2 linked regions of the Callithrix jacchus genome follow. The protein of the gene in region 2 purifies or fractionates together with the protein of the main gene of each other region. This does not show direct contact. Links are inferred from orthologs where the notes say so. Each region holds a gene or a part of one and is shown on either strand. Other genes may lie near its edges.

What was found.
Region 1: the proteins of NECAP2 (region 2) and AP2M1 purify together in Homo sapiens (affinity purification with mass spectrometry; 4 studies listed by BioGRID and IntAct, counting the BioPlex papers as one, with this or other methods). This does not show direct contact. The link is inferred for Callithrix jacchus from reciprocal best matches to the Homo sapiens genes NECAP2 and AP2M1.

The regions. Positions count from the first base shown.
Region 1 is NC_133516.1:13,155,641-13,167,417, forward strand, and holds the start of AP2M1 (AP-2 complex subunit mu), read left to right. Parts: upstream 1-4,604; 5' UTR 4,605-4,709; intron 4,710-6,676; 5' UTR 6,677-6,719; coding exon 6,720-6,793; intron 6,794-8,657; coding exon 8,658-8,923; intron 8,924-9,919; coding exon 9,920-10,002; intron 10,003-10,597; coding exon 10,598-10,733; intron 10,734-10,831; coding exon 10,832-10,973; intron 10,974-11,444; coding exon 11,445-11,564; intron 11,565-11,662; coding exon 11,663-11,777. Other genes in the region: DVL3 (segment polarity protein dishevelled homolog DVL-3), read left to right, coding at 1-40, 143-553, 1,380-1,411.
Region 2 is NC_133508.1:53,748,530-53,760,401, forward strand, and holds the start of NECAP2 (adaptin ear-binding coat-associated protein 2), read left to right. Parts: upstream 1-5,106; 5' UTR 5,107-5,126; coding exon 5,127-5,218; intron 5,219-8,563; coding exon 8,564-8,664; intron 8,665-11,872. UniProt on the Homo sapiens protein: Involved in endocytosis.

The sequences.
Region 1 (11,777 bases), on a different chromosome or scaffold from region 2:
AGCTACGGCGGGGGCAGCGCCAGCAGTCAGCACAGCGAAGGTAAGGTAATGGGGCCGGGTGGAAGGCCACAGGTGGACCCCGGGCTTCACCGGCCGCCTAGCTGCCACACTGCCACATGCCGGCCCTGTTTGCCTCCTACAGGCAGTCGGAGCAGTGGCTCCAACCGCAGTGGCAGTGATCGGAGGAAAGAGAAGGACCCAAAGGCCGGGGACTCAAAGTCGGGGGGCAGCGGCAGCGAATCGGACCACACGACACGCAGCAGCCTGCGGGGCCCGCGGGAGCGAGCGCCTAGCGAGCGCTCAGGCCCAGCGGCCAGTGAACACAGCCACCGCAGCCACCATTCTCTGGCCAGCAGCCTTCGCAGCCACCACACACACCCGAGCTATGGTCCTCCCGGCGTGCCCCCTCTCTACGGCCCCCCCATGCTGATGATGCCCCCACCGCCCACGGCCATGGGGCCCCCAGGAGCCCCTCCAGGCCGCGACCTGGCCTCAGTGCCCCCGGAACTGACCGCCAGCCGACAGTCCTTCCGCATGGCCATGGGAAACCCCAGTGAGTTCTTTGTGGATGTGATGTGAGCAGGGCCCCGCCCCACCTCCATTCCGCTACCACCCTAGCCGGCTGCGTTCCTCTCCATCCGTCCGTCTTTTTTACTTTGTTTGGTACCTGAAAGGGAAATAAACGGAACTTAATCCAGGTGCGCTAACTGCTCGCAGGGTGCTGCAAGGGTGGAATGCACCTACCGATTGGCTCTGCAGCCCCCTAACCTGCCTCTGGCCCCAGTTCGTTTCCTTTGCCCACTAACTGCTGCACAGGAATTCCCAGAATCCTTTGTGTCCCCGGGACCAGACTTGGTGCTGCCCCTTCCTCCCCTCTGCAAACCCCCTTTTGGGAGTTGTCTCCGGCAGTGTCCTTGACGGGATGCTTACTCCCTCATTCTCTCATTTCCCCTTCAGCTCCCTTTCACCATTCACTCAGCTACATCATCCTTATATTAACTCCACCCCATCAGGCATGTGTGCAGACCTCTTGACTACCCCACATTAATGACACCAAAATACATTTGCTTCACCTGCCCCTACTAACCAACCCCTGCCTGCTGCCTCAGTCTTGCAACCTAAAGCTGTAGTCGCCTCCGGTAGCCATCGTGCTGTCCCTGCCTGTGCCAAGATCAGAGGTCCCGAGGGCCCCCTCAGTTGCCTGAGCAGCTACTGGCTTCCAGAGAGCATCTCTGCTCTACCCCTGCCCCTGCCTGCCCTGTGTGCTGGTTTCTTTGGACCCCTAACCCTACTAACCAGCAGGCTCATCTCACCTCCAGGCCTGAAACATTTCTTTTCTTTCTTTTTTCCTCCCCTTATTTTCCCTGGGCCTGGAGCAGCCAAGAATTTCGGGCTGTTTGACTTTCTGTGAGCCCCCAGCGAGGGGAGGCCCAGCCTCCGAGGAGACCAGGAACCCTGCTTCGGCAGCGCCTCAGGGCTTCCCAAGGATGTCCAGCCCCCACACCCACACGTTAACATACTGAGTCACTAAGCTTCTGGGGAGGGCCCAGCTTCACCAGTGCATGGAGACTCTTCTCCTTTCCAGAGAGAATCAGGCCACACAACACATGGCAGGCTGCAGGGGGCCTCTCTAGCTCTCTTTATCTTTCTCACTCTTGCATGCATACATGCCCAGAGACACGCACAGGTGCCTATGCAAGTTCAGTTAAGCCTCGGGGCTGGCCCCTGCCCAAAGGGCTGGACCCTCTCTCCTAATCCTCTCCTAGGTTGTGGGGCTGGTCCCCTGACATCCTTCTTCCCTTGCTGGTAGCTCTCAAAACTCCCACACATCCCTAGCATTTTCGCACCTGGATAAAGCCCGTAAACTGGGTCAAGCTGGACTCAGCAGAGGACTTGCCCCACAACTGACAGGCCATTCCCACCCCACACACAACCTTACCCGTTTTCACATTCATCATGGCACCCCAGTGCAAGGACACAGGAGCCCACAGGCCAGTTGAGGCTGGGCAAGGACACTTCCAGGACTTCCAGACCGAGTGCCAGGTTTTATTTTTCACCTTATTCTCCACTTTAAACAAATCATGGTTTTCTCTTTAAGCCTCTGCTATAAATTCTGGCTCCCCTGGGCTTCCATATTTTTGGGTCTGGGGTGTCAAAAGTGAGATGAGGTCCTTAGCTGTAGGTTTTGAGGTAAACCAAGGTAGGGACATTTTGGCATTCATTCAATTAACAATACTTGTCCAGGTGTGGTGGCTCACGTCTATAATCCCAGCACTCTGGGAGGCTGAGGCAGGCAGATCGCTTGAGGTCAGGAGTTCAAGATCAGCCTGGGCAACATAGTGAAACCCCATCTCTACTAAAATTACAAAAATTGGATGGGTGTTTTGGTGCCTGACTAATCTCAGCTACTCAGGAGGCTGAGGCATGAGAATCGCTTGAACCCAGGAAGTGGAAGTTGCAGTGAGCTGAGATCGCACCACTGCATCTACCCTGGGTGACAGAGTGCGATTCTGCCTCAAAAGCAAACAAACAAAAACAATACTTCTTGGGGTTTTGGTGAGCAGAGGGCTTTGCTGGAAGTGTGACTCAGTCTTGCCTGCCTTCTGGGAACTCTAGATTTTCCTCAACTCCAGTCCATGGCTTCCAGCCACCACAGCAGGGCTGTTTCATGTACTTCTCGCTCTCACTCTGTCTTGTCCAACCCTCTTGAGAATTTCTCCACAATTGCTCGTGCCTGTCAGTATCAGTGCTTCCATCTTTCTGTCTTGGATTCACTTCTCTTTCCTTTCTATTTACTCCCAAAATGGAGTCATTCATCCTGATATCCTCAATTGCTGCTGATATGCTGGTGATTCCCAAATATATAGCTCCAACCCCAACTTCCCCCAGACTTCAGATCTGTATTAGTGTTACCTACTGGACATCTCTGGGCATTTCCATATGGACTCACGTGCCCAACCAAGTATGTTTCTCCTGAATTCCTGTCCTGGTTACCTTCATCACAATCTACATAGGCTCACCAGCTAGAAACATTTATGAGCTTACATTCCTTCTTCCCATATCTTACTCATCAGCACATCATATCCATTTCACTCCAACAATCTTTCTTGAATTTTCCCTCCCTCTCCTCTCTGTCTCTACTTTAATTCACTGGAGCATGGGATTTGGAGTCAGGTTGTTTTGGGTTTGAATTCCAGCTCTACTATTTTTGGTTGTGTGATAGGAGAGTTATTTAACCTCTCTGAGCCTCAGTTCCCTCGTATGTAAAATGATGATAATAATACCTACCTCACAGGGTTGTTGTGAGGATTTAAATTAGATATTGTACGAAAAGTGCCTAGCACAGTGCCTGGCACACAGTAGAGTAGGTGCTCAATAAATGGTAGCTATTATTATTATTATTTTATCATTATTATTTACTCTGGTAGCAGTTTAGGGTATTTTTGGAAGATAAAGCTTTTTGCAGAGGTAGGAGTCTTGAAGCCTTGAGTGCTGGTTCAAAAATTAGAAATGCCAATATTCAGTCATTTAATGACTTCAGGCTGTGACTACGATTTGGAGGAGGTCAGATCTTCATCCAGCCACATCGTGGCATCTGGCTGGAGGCTGTGAAGGACTGTAACATTTGCAACCAGATCTGCCCTTTCTTGCCCTTCCTTCTTCCCATGACAGGTGCAGTCCTGCCCAAGGAAGGCAGCAGTTTCTCTCTGCCCACAGAAAGAGAGGAGCCAACAGATCTTCTTCAGATTCTGCAAGAACCAAGCAAGCCCTTCATGTTTGAGGGTTGGCTCTATCTCCTCAGCTTGGATGTAAAGCTTATGTTTATCAAAGAGGAGATTTCAAATCCCATGTCCAACTAAATTCAACTCTTTTAACATCTTTTGAGCAGCATATATGCCTATCACTAGAAGTCATAACAATCGTATAGCTAAGGAGAACATTGGCCCGTTCATGAAAAGCTTTAGCTGACCTCGAGGAAGAGTGTACAGTCATGGACATATTTGTGAAAAGCTTTAGTTTCTTCCCAAGTAGTCGCCTCCTTCCTCCCCGCTCTTCTCCTTGGGTCTTGAATCCCTTGGAAAAAGCTCATGTCTGGAACAAATGTCTGAGAAAAGCTTGGGAGAATCAGAGGTACAGTTAGAAAGCAGTAAATTCGGCACAAACACTTCTGCCAAGTTGCATTTATTTGTGTGTAAAGTGAGGACAGCCAGTCTTGGAACTCTGGAGACAGAAAAGGCCTACAGCAATCCGAGGTTTAACAGATGTGCTTCTACAAACGGCATTAATATTCCAAAGCTCTCTGAAACAAATAGAAACAGGAAGAAGTGCAGAGACTACAATTCCCAGAGTGCTCAGTGAAAAAAAAATAAGGTGGGTGGAGCGGTGTATGCTGGACTGTGTATTTCTGGTAGGGCCGACTAAGGCCACGCCTATCTCTCCCCCTGAGGCGGGGACGGTTTCTCGAAGGCCGTCGGTAGTTGTGGTTTTGCTAAACGTAGAGCGCTTCAAATCGCTAGCAAGGAGGCACCGAAGCCTGACGGGATTTGTAGTCAGCGCGGGAGGCGGGCGCGCAAGCGCAGCCGGCTCCGGGGCGGGGCCGCGGCACTGCGGTGAAAGCCCAGGCAGCGGGCAGACGAGCAGGGGGCGGGCGGACATCTTGGGATTCCGAGAGTGGCCAGGCCGGCAGAGCATAGGGCCGCGGACACCAGGTGAGCCGGGCATCTGGCCTTATGGGTTGGGGGAGAACGCCGCGGGTCGTCTGTCCCGCCGCCCAGCTTTGCCTGCCCTGCACTGAGCTGGGAGAAAAGCTGCCCACACCCGGGAGTGGCTTCAGCCTTCAGACCCGGGAGCGAGCGGACGGTGGGGCGGGGGCGCCCAGGGCGCGGTTGCAGGGCTGGCGGGGAGCGGCGCCCTCCACCTGACCCGCCTGGCGACTCCCATGAGGGAGACCGCCTGGAATCCTCCCAGAGCAGGAACACTGCGCAGCGCCCCCTCCCTAGGATCCTGCCAGCCCCCTGGCCCTCCGCGCAAGGACAATTTTCCCGTCTCGTAGGACAGTGACACCCCCTTGTGCCGCCGCCTTGCACCGTGACAAGTCTCACACCATGCAGCGCCCCCTCCTCTGAGTTCAGTGACACCCCTTGGCTCTTCCTTAGACCTGTGACAGCCCCCGCACCCCGTGGCACCATTTTTTCCCACGATGCCCTCCCCAAGGCGAAAAGCCCACGACCCCCTCATTACTCTGCAGCGGAATCCCAGACAGGTTCTGTCAGCCCCAGCTTGTTCACCACTGTCAATCTCCCCCTGCCGGCTTTTCCTTCTTAAAGCCTTGACCTTTTCCATATAGGGAACTCTTACCTTTAGGTGCACCCCACCAGCCCAGTTTGCTGCTGTGAGCTCACCTGGGGACTCTGCCTGGCTGTCGCTGCAGGTCTTTCCCCTTAACTAAATGTTCCATTTCTGCCCAAGGCCCCACCTCCGGCTCTCCGGTGCCCTGCGCTACCTACCACCCGGTACCTGTGGACTTGGTTCCTTGCCCCAGGCTCTACCTCCATTTTGCATCTCCTTTCCTAGGCTGTTTGGAACTGAGGCATGGGATGAGTCTACCACCTTGAGAGAGCGCTCACCCCTCTGGAAGACCTTGACAGCCACAGGAAAAGGCCTTATTTTCCAGTTTGGAAAAGTCTGCTAAAGTACTTCCTGTGAAATTAATACCAGGGCTAATCCAGGAAATCTGAAACCAAACTAGCGCCTTTTCTCAAACAATTTAAATTAATTTGACCCAAATAATTTGGATAATTCAGGCATTCTGACATCCCTGGCTCTTGCTTAGAGGTACCCAGGCCAGCAGTGAGTTACTAGATGGGCCTGGATCACGATTTCGGATGGAAGGATTTCTTAATTTTATGAGCTTGCACCACCCCCACCCCCACCGCAGTCCTCATTTTTATTGCATTCCAGAGCTTTTTGAAAGGGGAGCGGTGGTCAGAGGTAACTGTGATAGTAGCTTGGGTGATGGAAGTGTAGTCTGCCAGCACTGGACCTTCCTCCTTTGCCCTTCGCCTGCTTATTCCACTGCCAGGAAGAAGAGGTTAAGCCACACTCGCGGGTCGACAGTAGGGCCTAAGGGCTCCCTTCTCTTCTCCTCCTCACACCCTTTCCTGGAATGTGAGTGCCGGAGGTTCAGGCCCTGCGACCTTCTCTGAAGGGTAGTGGAGCCCTACCCGAGCGACTGGATGCTCTAAAGGTTAGGCCTGGGGGCTCCAGGCCTGAACCAGCTGTCGTAATTCCTATTGCCATTCCTGCAGCGGCAGGCAGGCAGGCCTTAGTGACTCACGGGCTGGAGCCTGAGACTGCACAGGAGGTGGCCGAAAAGGATCATTTCTGAGCTCAGTGCTCAGGAGAGGGGGCGGGGGTTACTGATGCTCAGCCCCAGGAAAGGGAGGGTCAAAATGGCCTTAGAGTCCTGGGCCTAACCTCTCTCCTTTTCTTTCTCCCATCCAGTGTGGAATAAACAGGAACTGGAGCCTGGCTGAGGGGAGGGGCCTGTCTGGGAGGGCTGCAGGGTCACTTGCTAGAGGGTTGAGTCAGGAAAAAGGCTCCAGTGACCTGCACAGCTCCACAGGGGATGTTGGCAGGGGTTCTGAGGCCTTTTACCCGCCCCTGCCTATCCTAGGTCTGTTCTCAGAGCGATGGGCCTCGGAGACTGATCTGCCGCCATGATTGGAGGCTTATTCATCTATAATCACAAGGGGGAGGTGCTCATCTCCCGAGTCTACCGAGATGACATCGGGTGAGTCCCCTGGCCCAGCCAGCTGTGCCCCCCTTCGCCCCCCCTCCAGCCCCAGCATGCAGGATTAGGTCTGTTCCCACCAGAGGCTTGACTTGGGCCACTCCGACTCCTGGCTGCATCCTGGAAGCCCAGCTAGTTAGCCTGGCTCCCATTAGGTCTGGTGGTATTGGCCTGGCAGGCAGCCTGCAGGCCACAAGGTGGGACCTGTGGAATGGCAAGGTCCCACAGCCTGAGGAACTCCTGCCCTTCCTGCATCCCGTTTCTTTAGGCCTGGGTGCTCTGGGTGCTGAAGATGAGTGCTTTTGCCCAGGCTACTTAATTCCTTCCTTGAGGAGGAGGGAGAAGTGCCTCCAGTGGGTGGAGTTAGTGGCCAGGCTGGAGGTCCTAATCCATCTAAGCCTTGCTCTCAGAAGCCCTTCTCATGTCAAGCGCCTTCACTGGATTCTATTGAAAGCCTCTCCAGGCTGCCGAATCCTCTCAGGCTTCCTTTCTCAGGAGGAGTCATGCTGCTGACTCAGCTGTCTTCAGTTCCTCTGGGCCATTCCTGGGGGAGATGCTGGGAGGAAGCGTGAGGCACTCTCCGGGTCATGGAGGGAGGGCAGGGAGGCCATGCTGCCGTCCCTGGCCTATCAGACGGCCATGCTGCCGTCCCTGGCCTATCAGACGGCCATGCTGCCATCCCTGGACGGCTCCATATGCTGGGCCCCTTAGACCTTCTCACAGCCACAGCCTGCCTTCTCATTCTGTGCCCCCTGGACACCCTCGTTCTTTCCGACTGAGGGGACCTAGCTAGCCTTCGAGGCACTAAGGAGATGAGGCTCCTCTGGTTCCTGCTGCCTGTTGTTCTTCCCCAGAGAGCTGGAGATAAAGTCACAGAATGGGCCTGTTGCTGTGCCTCTCACTTGACTCCCTGGGTGTTGGGCTGGCCTGGCCTTTGAGGCTGTTTGTCTGTTGGCTGGTGGAGTGCCATGGGCTAGAGCTGCAGCTATGGCAAGGCCTGGCCTGGCTGAACCTGGCTGGCTACACCCCACCCCAGCCCCTCCTGCCTTGGATGGACTGGGCAAGCCAAGGCTGATCATGCGCCGCCTTGCCTGTCCCGTCTGCCTCTGCCTCACAGTGTGTGCTCCCTCCCGGTGTGTTGTGTGTCTAACCCTCTCTCTCGTTGCTGTCACTCTCCTCTTCTTGCTGGCGTCATTTCTCTCATCCCATCTCATTGGCTGCCGTAGCAATAGGTAAGCGGCCTCTCAAGCTGCTGCCCAGGTACAGGTGGGGGGGCCCTGCCCCCATCATTGTTTTCCTGCATCCTTTTCCATTCCCTGAACTTGCTCTGGAGTTGGATCCTGGCAAGAATGGGTTGCACAGTTCCACAGCCCCTTGGTACCTCTCCCTCCTTCGTGACTTCTGAAGTCATGCTGGCTTTGTCTAACTTCTGGAGGAGCTGGCCTTCCCCACTGCTGGGACACTAGCGGGAGGACTGGAGAAGAAGTGTCTCCTCCTGTCCTGGGCCTGGGAGCTTACGGGGAAGCTAGAGAAAGCTGGGAAACTGGGCCAGCCCTGGGAGTCAGGACTGCCTGTCTCTAAACCTGATGAACTTCACGTTATTAAGGTTACGTCGGCCTTGATACCTGACTTCCCTATTTCTCGGGGGCTGCAGACACCAGCCCCGCTCCGGCCCGCTCCCCATGCCTCCACGGGCAGTCATGAGAAGGGAACCACCCTAGTGGTTTAGGCACTGGTTTTCTTTAGAGCGTGTGTGTCAGACTTCTGCAGTAAGGAGGGTGGGGCTGTTAGCAGCTGTGGTTGGTCCTTGTTGGGTGAGGTTGGCCTGGGTGCTGAGCAGGCCCCATGCGCCCTTTTCCCTCAGGAGGAACGCAGTGGATGCCTTTCGGGTCAATGTTATCCATGCCCGGCAGCAGGTGCGCAGCCCCGTTACCAATATTGCACGCACCAGCTTCTTCCACGTCAAGCGGTCCAACATCTGGCTGGCAGCAGTCACCAAGCAGAATGTCAACGCTGCCATGGTCTTCGAATTCCTCTATAAGATGTGTGATGTGATGGCTGCCTACTTTGGCAAGATCAGCGAGGAAAACATCAAGAACAATTTTGTGCTCATATATGAGCTGCTGGACGGTGAGGCTGCTGGGCTGGCAGGGCGGTGGGCCAGGGTGGGGAAGACACAGGCTGGGCCGGGCCTGAAGCTGGGTGCAGGTCTGAGGCTCTGGTGGACTCTGAACTTTCTGAGTATCTGGTCTCTTGGGCTAGGATCTCTATGCCTCTTAGAAGGCCAATTCACATCTAGACCTGAAGGCTGCTCTGAAGTAGAACACAGAAATAGGCCAGCAGGTGTTTGGTGTTTCGGGGGGCTTGGAACCTGACTCAGGTTTGGTGGCTGAGCCTCCCATATTCATCCTCTTTCCTCTGTGGCTTGGACCTTGGTTCACTGGCTGTCCTCCCGGTTTCCCATCTCGGCAGCTGCTTCAGAGCCTGGGGGAGAGTGAGCTATGACAGGCCCCTTTAGGTGCGCTGTTACCTCTGTTTCTCTGTAGAGTGTGATGGAAGGGCAGGTGAGTCCTTCCCTCTTCCGAATGTCTATTTTCTGGAGAAAACGGCTCGAAGCTTCTTGACTTGCCTCCCGCTGGCCATGCGACTCTTCTGTTGATGTCTCTTTTTTTTTTGAGACAGGGTCTTCTCTTGTCACATATGCTGAGTGCAGTGGTGCAGTCGCAGCTCACTGAAGCCTCAGCCTCCTGAGTAGAGGGGACCATGGGCACATGCCACCGTGCTTGGCTCATTGTGACTATTTTTTGCAGAGCTGGGTCTCACTGTGTTGCCCAGGTTGCTCTTGAACTCCTAGTCTCAAGTGATTCTTCCCCTTTGGCCTCCCAAAGTGTCGGGATTACAGGCATGAGCCACTGTGCCTGGCTTTGATTTCTCTAGTTGAAAAAAATAAAACGTTTAAATTGTTTTCTTATAAAGCGCAAATCAGAATAAATGCTACAGAGCTAGAAGACTTTGTTGAGATGATGCCACAGGGTCTTTGGAAGCTGCGCCAGCCAGACATGCAGGCCCGAGCAGGGACTGGAATGAAGCTTTGACCGGGGGCTGATGGTTCCCTTCTTTTTGCAGAGATTCTAGACTTTGGTTACCCACAGAATTCCGAGACAGGCGCGCTGAAAACCTTCATCACCCAGCAGGGCATCAAGAGTCAGGTACTTGAATTGTGCAAACCATAGTCAGGGTGGAGTCCAATCTCCCTTCATCTCCGCTGGCCCCTGAGCCTTGTCTGAGCTGACTCGTGAGCCCTCCCATGACAGGAAGTGCTGGCCTGAGCCTCCTGCTGTGATTGCAGGCTTAGTTTGCCCTGTGTGGTCCTCCCGCTGCAGGAGCAGCCAATTCAGCATCTCTGTTACCAGGAATACAGCTCCAGCAGTTTCCTTCTGCACTGAGGGGTTGGGGAGGAGGCCTGCTCCTGAGGCCTGGTGTTCCTTGTGGGGAGAGAGCTTGGGCCCTCTCCTAGGATCCAAGCCTCATAGTTTTCTCCTCCTTTTCTGCCTCCCTGGCTGCTTCATGTGGGCACCTCGTTGGCCCTGCGGCCCCCAGCATCAGGTAAGCTGTTCCCTTGGCTTCCACCCATGCGGCTTTGCTTTGCTTTATCCAGGCCCTGCCCTTTGGGGCTCACAGGGGAAAATGGATTACAGGTGTGGACTAGAAGGGAGGGGAATGAGGGTGGAATGGGGATAGGGACAGGAGGAGGGAAGGGAGAGAGGAGTGAGGCTATTGCTGTTTGTCTCTGCCCCCATATAGACAAAAGAAGAGCAGTCACAGATCACCAGCCAGGTGACGGGGCAAATCGGCTGGCGGCGAGAGGGTATCAAGTATCGCCGGAATGAGCTCTTCCTGGACGTGCTGGAGAGTGTGAACCTGCTCATGTCCCCACAAGGTGAGGTCCCTTTCATGATAAAGCAGGAGGAGGCCAGGGCAGGATCCTGGGCCTGCCTGCCTGACTCTGCTGCTCCCCATTTGTCTGTTCATCACCAGGGCAGGTGCTGAGCGCCCATGTGTCGGGCCGGGTGGTGATGAAGAGCTACCTGAGTGGGATGCCTGAATGCAAATTTGGGATGAATGACAAGATCGTCATTGAAAAACAGGGCAAAGGCACAGCTGATGAAACAAGCAAGAGGTACCTGAGGCAGGGAGCTGGCGGGAAGGGGTGTCCTGCGGGCTCAGTGGGGTCTAGTGAACCCAAGTTTCTTCAGAACTTCATTCCCACCATAATTGTAAACTCTCTGTTCCCAGTGGTAAGCCTGGCTATTTGCTCTTGACATTAGTGCTAAGAGAGATGAGAGAATTGTCCTCAGAGAGCAAGCCCCTTTGTTTGGTCCCTAGGACCAAGGTCTCTTCTGTACATACTGACAGCCTCTGTCCTGTGTGCCTGAAACACCCCAGTCCCGAACAGCAGGGCTCTCTGGAGAGAATGAGCTTGCAAGCTTCCCTCTCATCCCAAACTCTGGGGCAGACCTCTATGTCAGAAAGCTGCATTCTAGCAGCTTTTCATAGTCTCTGGTGCTAGCCTGGGGTGGAGTGGTCTGCCAGCCTGTCACCTGTCAGTCTCCTATACCAATAAAACCTCCTCCTCTGCCCCTGCCTATAGCGGGAAGCAATCAATTGCCATTGATGACTGCACCTTCCACCAGTGTGTACGACTCAGCAAGTTTGACTCTGAACGCAGCATCAGCTTCATCCCGCCAGATGGAGAGTTTGAGCTTATGAGGTGCCACTGGGGTGGGAGGAGGCAGCGAGTGCTGCTGGCAGAGATTGAGGAGAGGAAGTACATCAGGCTCTTTGGTGACCTTGCTTCCCATCCCTTAGGTATCGCACAACCAAGGACATCATCCTTCCTTTCCGGGTCATCCCGCTAGTGCGAGAAGTGGGACGCACCAAACTGGAGGTCAAGGTGGTCATCAAGTCCAACTTTAAACCCTCA
Region 2 (11,872 bases):
GAGATCGCGCCACTGCGTGCCAGCTTGGGCAACAGAGCAAGACTCCATATCAAACAAAAACAAAAACAAAAAACTTACTCATGGAACCAAAATAACAAAAACTTACTCATGTAACAAACAAAAAAACCACAACAACTTACCAAAAACTTATTCATGTAACCAAATACCGCTTATACCCCAATAACCTATGGAAAAATAAATAAATATAAACTTTTGAAATCAGGAAGTGTGAGTCCTCCAACTTTTTCTTTTTCAAGATTCTTTGGGTATTGAGTGCCCCTTTTATAAGCGGTTTCCTCATCTGAAAAATGGGAGAATTTCTCTTGGAAATATCTATGATGGCAGGAAAATACAGCAGAGAAAGATAAGTGACCTATCATATATGTGTCTGGAGGCTGTCAAGGAAAGCTTGCTCACATCACATCCCCACCTGGGCTCTGGACCTACCAGAAATCAGCTGGATGAGTCACAGTGAGGTTTTCCACCCTTGCATACCACCTCACACACAGGATGGATTCTGTCTGAGCCTATACTTTGCCTGTTGGCTTGAATTGGATTTGTTTGGTATACAGGTAGTTACACTGGGAATAGACGGTAGGTCCAATTATTCTCAGCAGCAGAGGTTTAGGAATGCATTTCAGTAGTGTCCAGCCATATGGTTAGAGTTTGAGAATAAGGCAAAGGGCTGTCTGACTTCCAACTGCCCAACAGTGTCATTTCCCCCAGCTTGTCACTGGTTCAGTGGCCCCCATCACACAATGAGGATAACAATCGTTGCCTTGCCAACCTCACAGTGGTTATTGTGCCAGGGAACTCTCTCCCAGAGAGCCTTCCCTGACTGTCCCCAGAGTGTGTGGGTTTCTTCTCCTTGCTCCCACAGCTTCCTGTGAATTTGCTTCATTATAGTACCTTTCATTCTGCATTGCCAATGACTGCTTTTCTCTGTGTCTCCTCCAGTCTGTGAGCTCCAGAATGGTAGGAGCTGTATTGGCTGAATCTCAGTGACCTCAGCACTCAGCACCTTGCATAGGGTATGTGCTTGATGCCTGTCTTTGTTAGACTGAACAGAAGTGAAAGTGCTCTGAATGGTGAGGTGTGGTGGTTCACACCTGTAATCCCAGCACTTTGGGAGGTTGAAGCTGGTGGATCTCCTGAGGTCAGGAGTTCGAGACCAGCCTGACCAAGATGATGAAACCCTGTCACTACTAAAAATACAAAATTAGCTAGGCATGGTGGCTCATCCCTGTAATCCCAGCTACTCAGGATGCTGAGGCAGGAGAATCACTTGAACCCAGGAGGCAGAGTTTGCAATGAGCTGAGATTGTGCCACTGCACTCCAGCCTGGGCAGCTGAGTGAGACTCCATCTCAAAACAAAAAAAAATAGTTGGGCATGGTGGTGGGCACCTGTAATCCCAGCTACTCAGAAGGCTGAGGCAGGAGAATCATTTGACACCCGAAGGCAGAGGTCGCAGTAAGCTGAGATGGTGCCATTGCACTCCACCTTAGGCAATGAGAGTGAACTTTTTTTTAGGCTATGACTAAAAAAAAAAAAAAAAAAAAAAAAAAAAAAAAAGTCAGGGCACATGGCTCACGCCTGTAATCCCAACACTTTGGGAGGCCGAGGTGGGTGGATTACGAGATCAGGAGATCAAGACCATCCTGGCCAACATGGTGAAACTATGTCTCTACTAAAATACAAAAATTATCTGTGTGTAATGGCACGTGCCAGTAGTCCCAGCTATTTGGGAGGCTGAGGCAGGAGAATCACTTGAACCCGGGAGGCAGAGGTTACCGTGAGCCGAGATTGAGCCATTACACTCCAGCCTGGGCAGTAAAATGAGACTTAGTCTCAAAAAAAAAAAAAAAAAAAAAGGCAGCCAGGTGTGGTGGCCCATGCCTGTAATCCTAGCACTTTGGAAGCTGAGGCAGCAGGATCTCTTGAAGACAGGAATTCAAGACCAGCCTGGGCAACATAGAAAGACCCCTGTCTCTACAAAAAGTAACAAAATTAGCAGGGTAGGGTAGTGTGTGCCTATAGGCCCAGCTACTCAAAAGGTTGAGGCAGGAGGGTCTCTTGAACACAGGAGTTTGAGGCTGCAGTGAGCGATGATTGCATCATTGCACTCCAGTGTGGGGAGACAGAGACCCTGTCTTTAACAAAAAGAAAGAACAAAAGGAAAATGATGAATATTCACAAAAATGTGAAGAAATTGAAACCCCTGTGAATGTAAAATGCTGCTGCTGCTGTGGAAGACAGTTTGGAGGCTCCTCAAAAAGCCGAACAAGGCTGGACATGGAAGTTCACACCTGTAGTTCCAGCTGCTTGGGAGACTGAGTCGGGAGGATCACTTGAGCCTGGGAGGTAGAGGCTACAGTGAGCCGTGATCACGCCAATGCACTCCAGCCTGGGCAACAGAGTGAGATGCCGTTTCAAACAAAACGAAACCAAACCGCTAAACGTAGCATTATTGTGTAACTCAGCAGTTTCACGTGCACGTATCCGCTCAAGAAAATGGAAAACAAGGACTCGAACAAGTGTTTGAACACCGATGCTCACAGCAGCCGGATTCCCAGTACCAAAAGGTGGTAACAACCCAATTGTTGACAGATGAATGAACAAAATATCATACATACATGCAGTGGGATATTAATCACCCATGAAAAGGAATGAAATTCTAATCCATGCTACAACATGAGTGAACCTTGAAAACTTGATCCTGAGTGAAATAAGAGACACAAAAGCCGGCCAGGTGCAGTGGCTCAAGCCTGTAATCCCAACACTTTGGGAGGCTGAGGCGGGTGGATCACGAGGTCAAGAGATCGAGACCATCCTGGTCAACATGGTGAAACCCCGTCTCTACTAAAAATACAAAAAATTAGCTGGGCATGGTGGCGCGTGCCTATAATCCCAGCTACTCAGGAGACTGAGGCAGGAGAATTGCCTGAACCCAGGAGGTGGAGGTTGCGGTGAGCCGAGATCGTGCCATTGCACTCCAGCCTGGGTAACGAGAGCGAAACTCCGTCTCAAAAAAAAAAAAAAAAGAGAGAGACACAAAAGCCTAATATTGCATGATTCCACTTGTAAGAGGTATCTAAAATGGGCAAATTCATATAGATAGAAAGCAGAACAGAGGTTACCAAGGGATGGGGCAGGAGGGAATGGGGTTATTGCTTAATAGGTGTGGTGTTTCTGTTTGGGATGATGAAAAGTTCTGGAAAGCATGGTATAGTTGCACAATATTGTGAATGTACTTAATTTCACAGCATTGCACTCTTAAAATGGTAAATTTTATGTTATGTATATTTTACAATAAAAATATAAGTGGTTAGATCAATCCTATAATAAAAAGCTTATAAAAAATGAGTAGAAATGGCCAGGCACGGTGGCTCACGCCTGTAATTCCAGCACTTTGGGAGGCCAAAGCGGGCGGATCACTTGAGGTCAGGAGTTTGAGAACAGCCTGGCTAACCTGGTGAAATCCCTGTCTCTACCAAAAAAATACAAAAGTTAGCCGGGTGTGGTGGCGGGCGCCTGTAATCCCAGCCACTTGGGAGGCTGAGGTAGGAGAATCGCTTGAACCAGGGAGGCAGAGGTTGCAGTGAGCTGAGATCGTGCCACTGCACTCCAGCCTGGGCAACATAGTGAGACTTCATCTGGAAAAGAAAAAAAAGAGTAAAAAGTAGAAGGGAATAGAGTGAGAGAAAAGGAAAGAAGGGGTGCGGAAAGTTTGGGGTCTTCAGTGAGTCAGAGATTTGGGATCAGCTGTGTCCCACATAGGGACTGGCACATTGCAGGCACTCAGCTCACATAATGAATGAGAGAATGGTAGGGAAGGAGGGATTTTGAGAATTTGCTATGGTAGCCATTGTATCTCCCAGAATATTCTGGGAGAAATTGAAGTCAAAACTGGAATTCTTAGCTGGGTGCAGTGGCTCATGCCTGTAATCCCAGAACTTTGGGAGGCTGAGGTGGGTGGATCATGAGGTCAGGAGTTTGAGACCAGCCTGGCCAATATGATGAAACCCCGACTCTATTAAAAAATAAAAATAAAAAATTAGGCGGGCACAGTGGCATGTGCCTTTAGTTCCAGCTACTCAGGAGGCTGAGGCAGGAGAATCGCTGGAACTCAGCAGGCAGAGGTTGCAACAAGCCAAGATCACACCACTGCCCTCCAGCCTGGGTGACAGAGGGAGACTCCATCAAAAAGACTGGAATTCTTCTTCTTCTTTTTATATTTTTTTTTTTGTTTTTTGAAACAGAATCCTGCTTTGTCAGCCAGGCTGAGGTTCAGTGGCACAATTTCAGCTCACCACAATCTCTGCATCCCGGGTTAAAGCCATTCTAGTGCCTCAGCCTCCGGAGTAGCTGGGACTACAGACATAAGCCACCAAGCCCGACTAATTTTTGTATTTTCAGTAAAGACGGGGTTTCACCATGTTGGCTAGGCTGGTCTCGAACTCCTCACCTCAAGTGATCCACCGGCCTCAGCCTCCCAAAGTGCTGGGATTACAGGCGTGAGCCACTACGCCAGGCCTGGATTCTTCTTAAATTACTTGCGTTACTAAACTTTACTTCTTTGACTACAACTCGTTGTTGAGGTGTGGCCACACGGGGCCCTGAGCACATAGGTGGGTTCCCATAGGTGAAGCATGTAGGGCGGTAGGGTAAGGGCGCTTAGTTTGCTGGATCAGGTGACAGCTGAACCTTACAGTCAGGAGAGGGAAGCACATTCAGGCCAGCGTGGAGTGGAGGCAAAGGCTGGAGGACAGATGCTGAAGGGTGGGCTACAGTTTTGCCTCTAGGCCAACTGGGTCCCAGGCCTAAGAACTGAAGCGATGGGGATGACCCACACCCAGACCACGGGTCATGGAGGGGTCCGTACATGGCGGGGGGCCCGGGCGCTTTCTCTGCGTCAGAGGGTGTATGGTGGGAGAGGGAAGCCTCCGGAGGTGGCCCGCCGCGGGTCTTGAGCCGGGCCTCTAGCAGAGGGCGCACAAACGAGGCGGTGCTGAGGCCCCCTAGCTGCCGCTCTAGGCAACCTAGTCACAGAGTCGCACCGCTTCCGGCTGTAGAACGGAGAAACGGTGGAAGGAGCCGGAAGTCCGGTGGGCTCCAGGCGTCGCGATGGAGGAGAGCGGGTACGAGTCGGTGCTGTGTGTCAAGCCTGACGTCCACGTCTACCGCATCCCTCCGCGGGCTACCAACCGTGGCTACAGGTGACTCCCCGCCGCCAGATCAGGCTAGCTCCGATTTAACCCTTTCTCCGCCACCCGGACACACCCACTGCGGGAACCGAGGACAGCCCTGGCCAGTGTAGGGGCGAGGGGGAGCTAATGCTGCTGCTGCTTCCAGTTACAGGCCCGAGCAGGGAGGCGAACCCAGAGTTTCGGCCGTCTCAGTACGACGCACGGGACTCCTGGCGGCGGGGAAGGCGTTAAAGCCGTATCTAGTGCTTAGGGAACCCCGGTGGGCTGCCGGGTACCTATTCTGGGTCGGGGGTGGTGGTGTCGTAGACGCTTCTCTTTCGGCGCTAACCGATGGCCTTGAAGGGATCTTTGAAAAGCCTTAAGCGGGGAGGTGCGCTATCACAGTCGGAAATCCCCGAGAGGAGGGGAGAGAGCCCAGGGCCGGCCGAAAGGACTCGTCCAGGGTAGCTTTAAGCTGACGGTCGAAGCCCAGGGCCCCCTTCCTCCTCAGATCCCTTCCCACGAACTTCACCCTTGAACCCAGCCTGGGGCAGCTGGGAAGACCCCATCTACATTCCTCTAATCTCTACCTGAGACGAATAAACACACACGCTTGTAAACATACAGAGAATCTCTGCAAGGGAACACACAGGAAACTGCTCTGGGGAGGAGAACCGCGCCGTTGGAAGGAGACTTCCTTTCCCTTTTGTACTCTTTCCATGTTGTTACCCTTTGTATGCGTTATCTATCAAAACAAGACGAAAAATATTAAAAGAAAAAAGATATACTTCATACAGACAACTTGGCCTATGGCTGTTTTGTGCCGCTGAGTGGTGGTGGGGAGTGCTCGTATGTGCGGGGGCCTGGGTGGCTCTTGAAGGCGATGGTTGTCCAAGTTTTTCGGAAATACAGGATTGGCCCGCACCACATGAATGATGATGGAGCGTCCACATATCCTCTTGTTACTTTCCAGTTGTGTTACCATGGGCTCATAGTTGATTTTATGGTGAAAAGATGTGCTAGTGAACACTACATTCATGAGATATTTTAAAATAGTATTGAAACCAAAATAACAACAGTAACCAGAATACATTTGCTTTCTGTCATCAGACTGCAGATGTACCATGAAACCGTTGATGGTCGTCTACCCTCATCCCCTGTTGGGTCTTCAGTAGGATGAGTTTGGTTCCTCTTGGTGCCCCAGAGAGCAAGGTTACAAATTGTCAGGACTGGCTGGTTTGGCTTAGAGGAAGCTACCAGTGCCTGCGCTTAAGTCTTGGAGCTCTTCTTAGCCTGAATCTCAGGCCTGGTAAGAGGAACTGGAACTGAGTCTGCTGATTTTCTGAATTGACAGTCTGCGTTTGTGCAGCTCTGGAGAACTGGCATAGGGACTTCCAAGAAAAGTCTCCCAGAAACACCTGCAATTCTTGCTATTTGGGGATTTTACTGACCTTTTCTTAGAACTAAAATGTGAAGTTATTTTTTTTTTTTTCTGTCTTGATAGAGTTATAATGAAGTTATTGCTTTAAAAGAGCCAAAACAGGGCCAGGCATGGTGGCTCATGCCTGCGGCACTTAGGGAGGCAGAGGCGGGTGGATCACTAGATCAGGAGTTGGAGACCAGCCTGGCCAACAGGGTGAAACCCTGTCTCTGCTGAAAATACCAAAATTAGCTGGGCGTGGTGGCAGACACCTGTAGACCCAGCTACTCCGGAGGCTGAGGCAGGAGAAGGCTTGAATCTGGGAGGCGGAGGTTGCAGTGAGCTGAGACCATCCCTCAGCACTCCAACCTGGGCAACAGAGCAAGACTCCATCTCAAGAAAAAAAAAAAACTGCCAAAACAGCTGGCTGTGGGGGCTCAGGCCTGTAATCCCAACACTTTGGGAAGCCGAGGTGGGAGGATCCCTTGAGCCCAAGACTTCAGGACCAGCTTGGGCAATATAGTGAGACCCTATCTCTTAATTTTTTTTTTTTTTAATTAGCTGGGTGTGTTGGTACACACCTGTACTCAGGACGGAGGATCTCTTGAGCTCGGGAGGTTGAGGCTTCAGTGAACTGTGGTTGCACCACTGCACTTCAGCCTGGGTGACAGAGTGAGACCCCGTCTCAAACAAATCAGAGCCAAGAGAGGCATTGCTGGCCAGGCTCGGTGGCTCATGCCTGTAATCCCAACACCTTGGGAGGCCGAGGCGGGCAGATCACGAGGTCAGGAGTTTGAGACCAGCCTGGTCAACAAGGTAAAACCTCATCTGTTCTAAAGATACAAAAAATGAGCTGGGTGTGGTGGTACGAGCCTGTAATCCCAGCTACTTGGGAGGCTGAGGCAGGAGAATCGCTTGAACTCAGGAGGTGGAGGTTGCAGTGAGCTGAGATCACACTGTTGCACTCCAGCCTGGGCAACTGGGCATTCCTGTAGGTTCATGGTTTTTCCTGGGTTGCTTCCTAAGCACCCATTCACTTTTCTCACATGTACTGTTCTCCTTTTCTCTTCTTGTGATTGCTCTCCGCTGTCTTTTTCCTTCAAGATAGTTTCACTGGTCTCAAAGGGTCACTCTGACCACTGCAGTCGAGCAATGTCAGAAACAGAAACAGGTGGCTGTGTCTTACGCCTGTAATCCCAGCACTTTGGGAGGCCAAGGCAGGTGGATCATGAGATCAAGAGATCGAGACCATCCTGGCCAACATGGTGAAACTCTACTAAAAATACAAAAATTAGCTGGATGTGGTGGTGCGAGCCTGCAGTCCCAGCTACTTGGGAAGGAGAGGCAGGAGAATTGCTTGAACCCTGGTGGCAGAGGTTGCAGTGAGCTGAGATTATTGTGCCATTGCACTCTAGCCTGGGCAACAGAGCGAGACTGTCTCAAAAAGAAACAGAAACAGAAACAGGTTTCTGCAGCTGCTTCCTCTACAGAAAGGAAACCGGAAGGAAGTCCTATCCGGAGGAGGACTCTGGTCTAGAGAATGGGTCCTCCATCGACAACCTACTGTGTTTTTGTATGGCTCATACCTAAGAATGGTTTTTATATTTTTTCAATGGTTTGGAAAATTTTTAAAGGAGAATATTTCAAACTGAGAACATTATATGAATTTCAGGTTTCAGTGTCTACAATTTGATTGAAATACAGCTGTGCTCAGTAGAAAATATTCATTCAAGATACCTAAAGCATCAACATGTGCATGTACCATATTGCTTTTACAGCAGAGATGCCTTGTGGCAGGCTGTGTTGCCTGAAAAGCCAAAGATATTTACTGTCTGACCCTTTACAGAAAATGTCTGCCAACCCTTGGGCTAGAACAAGTAGCCCTTTCCATCCTCAGCATTGGGGTCATGAAGCAGGAGCCTCTGGCAGAGGTTCAGTGGTGTTTGTCTCTTCAGGGCCGCGGAGTGGCAGCTGGACCAGCCGTCATGGAGTGGCCGGCTGAGGATCACTGCAAAGGGGCAGATGGCCTACATCAAGCTGGAGGACAGGACCTCAGGTAACCGCAAGGGAGGCCGCTCCAAGCTGAGGGATTGCACTCCCACTTTATGAAGGGAGAGTTGGCCTGGTCTGGCCAGGCTGCTCAGGAGTCATGGGAACCTGTCCTGAAAGTCAGAAATGTGTGTATACCTTTAAGCTGTACCATTCCCTCACCTTAGTTGTAGAATGTACTGTCCCCAGGTGTACAAACGAGTATTTCCTGTTAAGCACCAGTTCTTTTTAGGAGTCCTCAGGAAAATGCGGAGGCCAAGGAAAGGAGACTGCAGCTTGGTCTGGGTAGGAAGTAGGAAGCCCTGGAATTGGCCTTGAAGACAGTCGGGGTAAAGATGCACAGCCTCTACCGCTGGGCTCTGCTTCCTACAGAGGAATTGTTTATCAGCGAAGCTCCCAGAGCTGACCACACCCATTCACTGAAGGAGCTGAAAACTGTCCTACTCAGCTCTTTCTGTAGGGAGAGGACAGGCCGAGGTGGGTCATGTTGGGGTCAGCTGGCAGAGATCGTCTTGAGGGAAACTTCACAGGTCCTGGGCCACCAGTGCCTCTGGGTGAGCTGTGGACGGCAATACCTCTGGAGTACCCCTCGCTGCCACCCCGAGTGGGGTCGGACATAGTGCTGGCCCAGTCAGGTGCCACAACGTTCAGTCATTTTTTTTTTAATCTGTAGAGATTTTCCTTTGTAGAGCAGAAGAAAGTGCAAAAGTTTAGAGACAGAACTGGCTGCCTCTTCTCAGAACTATGTTCTGCCGGAGCTGCTGGACATTGGGTGAGCCATGTGACCTCTGGAGCCTTGGCTTCCTTCTTGTTGAAATGAGGATCATGTTAGTTACTCCTTCATAAAATTGTTGGAGATAGGAAGTGAGCAGATACTTATCTGATTGCTTTATGAGCCGCAAGGCAACCCAAAGCATTGATGTGTTCTTTGGGAACTTGCGTTCTGGCGGCAGAGGAGTTTGAAGAGGCAGCTGCCATGGCCAGACCAGAGGATTTTAGCTAGAGAATTGCTGGGATATCCCAGGTAGTGTCATGAGAGAATGGTAACACCTCTTGTTCTCTGGGGAATTTGGGAACTGTGACTTTAACATGACTACCTAATGTAACAGCCACTGCCCAGGGCTTAGCCTGCCCTGTGGGACCCACCCCAAGGTGGTCTTTGCTTAAGGTCATACCTGGATCACGTTAGTCTCTGACCTTCCCATGAGGTAATGAGCATATCACTCTAGGCCAGGCTTTCTCAGCCTCGGCACTGTTGACATTTGGGGCCAGATGGGTCTTTGTTTTGGAGAGCTGTGGAGCCCAATGAGGATATTTAGCAGCACCCCCCAAGTTGTGTCAATCAAAATTATCTCTAAACATTTCTAGATGTCTCTTGGGGACAGGGGAGCAAAATTGCCCCTGCTTGAGAACTGCTGTAGGCTGAAGGTATCTTGGTGAGGTTGGAACAGAAGGCAAATAAATTTGACAAGCTGCAGATTCTAGGGCTGTTGGTTTTGAATCAGTTCAGCCTTGATTACAAAATTACCTCTAGGCAGGGCATGGTAGCTCATGCCTATAATCCCAGCACTTCAGGAGGCCAAGACAGGTGGATTACTTGAGCCCAGGAATTCCAGACCAGCCTGGGCAATATGACAAAACACTGTCTCTAATAAAAATACAAAAATTAGCCAGGCGTGGTGGTGCACACCTGTGATCCCAGCTACTTCAGAGGCTGAGGCACAAGAATCACTTGAACCAAGGAGGTGTATGTTGCAATGAGCTGAGATTTTGCCACTGTACTCCAGCCTGGGTGACAGAGCAAGACTGTTTGAAAAAGAAAACAAAAACCCAAAAAACAAAGTTACCTCTAAACCACAGGACTCAGTAGAAGGTATTTGGTTAAATACCTAAAGCACCAGCCAGGTGTGACTCATGCCTATAATCCTAGGGCTTTGAGAGACCAAAGTGGGAGGATCACTTGAGGCCAGGAGTTAGCAGCCTGGACAACATATCAAGACTCTATCTCTAATAAAATAAATTGAGTGGACATGGTGGTATGTGCCTATATTCCCAGCTACTCGAGAGGCTGAAGCAGGAAGATTACTTGAGCCCAGGGGTCGAGGCTACAGTGAACTATGATCCGCTGCACACTGCACTCCAACCTGGGCAACAGAGCATGACCCTGTTTCTTTCTTTCTTTCTTTCTTTTTTTTTTTTTTGGTCACCCTGGCTGGAGTGCAGTGGCGCAATCTCAGCTCACTGCATCCTCCAACTCTCCTGGGGTTAAGGGATCCTCCTGCCTTAGTCCCCCAGGGAGCTGGGACTAAATGTGCATGCCACCATGCTTGGCTAATTTTTATATTTTTTGTAGAGACCGGGTTTCCCCATATTGCTCATGCTGGTCTCAAATTCCTGGGCTTGGCTGGGTGCAGTGGCTCATGCCTGTAATCCCAGCACTTTGGGAGGCTGAGGTGGGTGGATCACTTGAGGTCAGGAGTTCAAGGCCAGCCTGGCCAACATGGTGAAACCCCACCTCTACTAAAAATACAAAAATTAGCCGGGTGCAGTGACAGGCACCTGGTTAAATTCAGACAATTGAATCTAAAACTCCGCTGCTCGGGAGATTGAGGCAGGAGAATTGTTTGAACCTGGCAGGCAGAGGTTGCAGTGAGCTGAGATCACGCCACTGCAATCCAGCCTGGGCGATAGGGCGAGATTCCATCTCAGGGAAAAAAAAAAAAAGGTATAAATCAAATTTCTGGTCTCAAGCAACATACCCATACCCGCAGTGCTGGGACCATACCCAGTTCATGACCCTATATCTAAAAGACAAAACAAAAAATACTAAAAGCACTAACAGAGGTCAGCACATGCAAAAAACTGATGCCAGTCATAAATGCTCATGGAAGTTTTACGTTGCACTGCGCCTGTCGAGTGCTGTAGTTGACAAGGTGATGTGTTTCACAAAGGATCCTTTTAAAGCTACTCACACTTACACTATAACTCAGATTGAATTAAATCAACCTGCTTCAGATTCTCTATGGATGTGAAAACTTCCTCCCTTCTTTCCACGGGGCTCACTGGCCCCTCTTACTGTCCTGCCTCAGGCACTAGGCCTCATCAGCAGGTGTACCTAGGGCAGGGCTCACCTGTTCTAGGACACTCAAGGTTTGGGCAGGTAATGTAAGTGGGTAAAGCAGATGGAACAGATGGGCTAGTAGCTCCAGCTTATT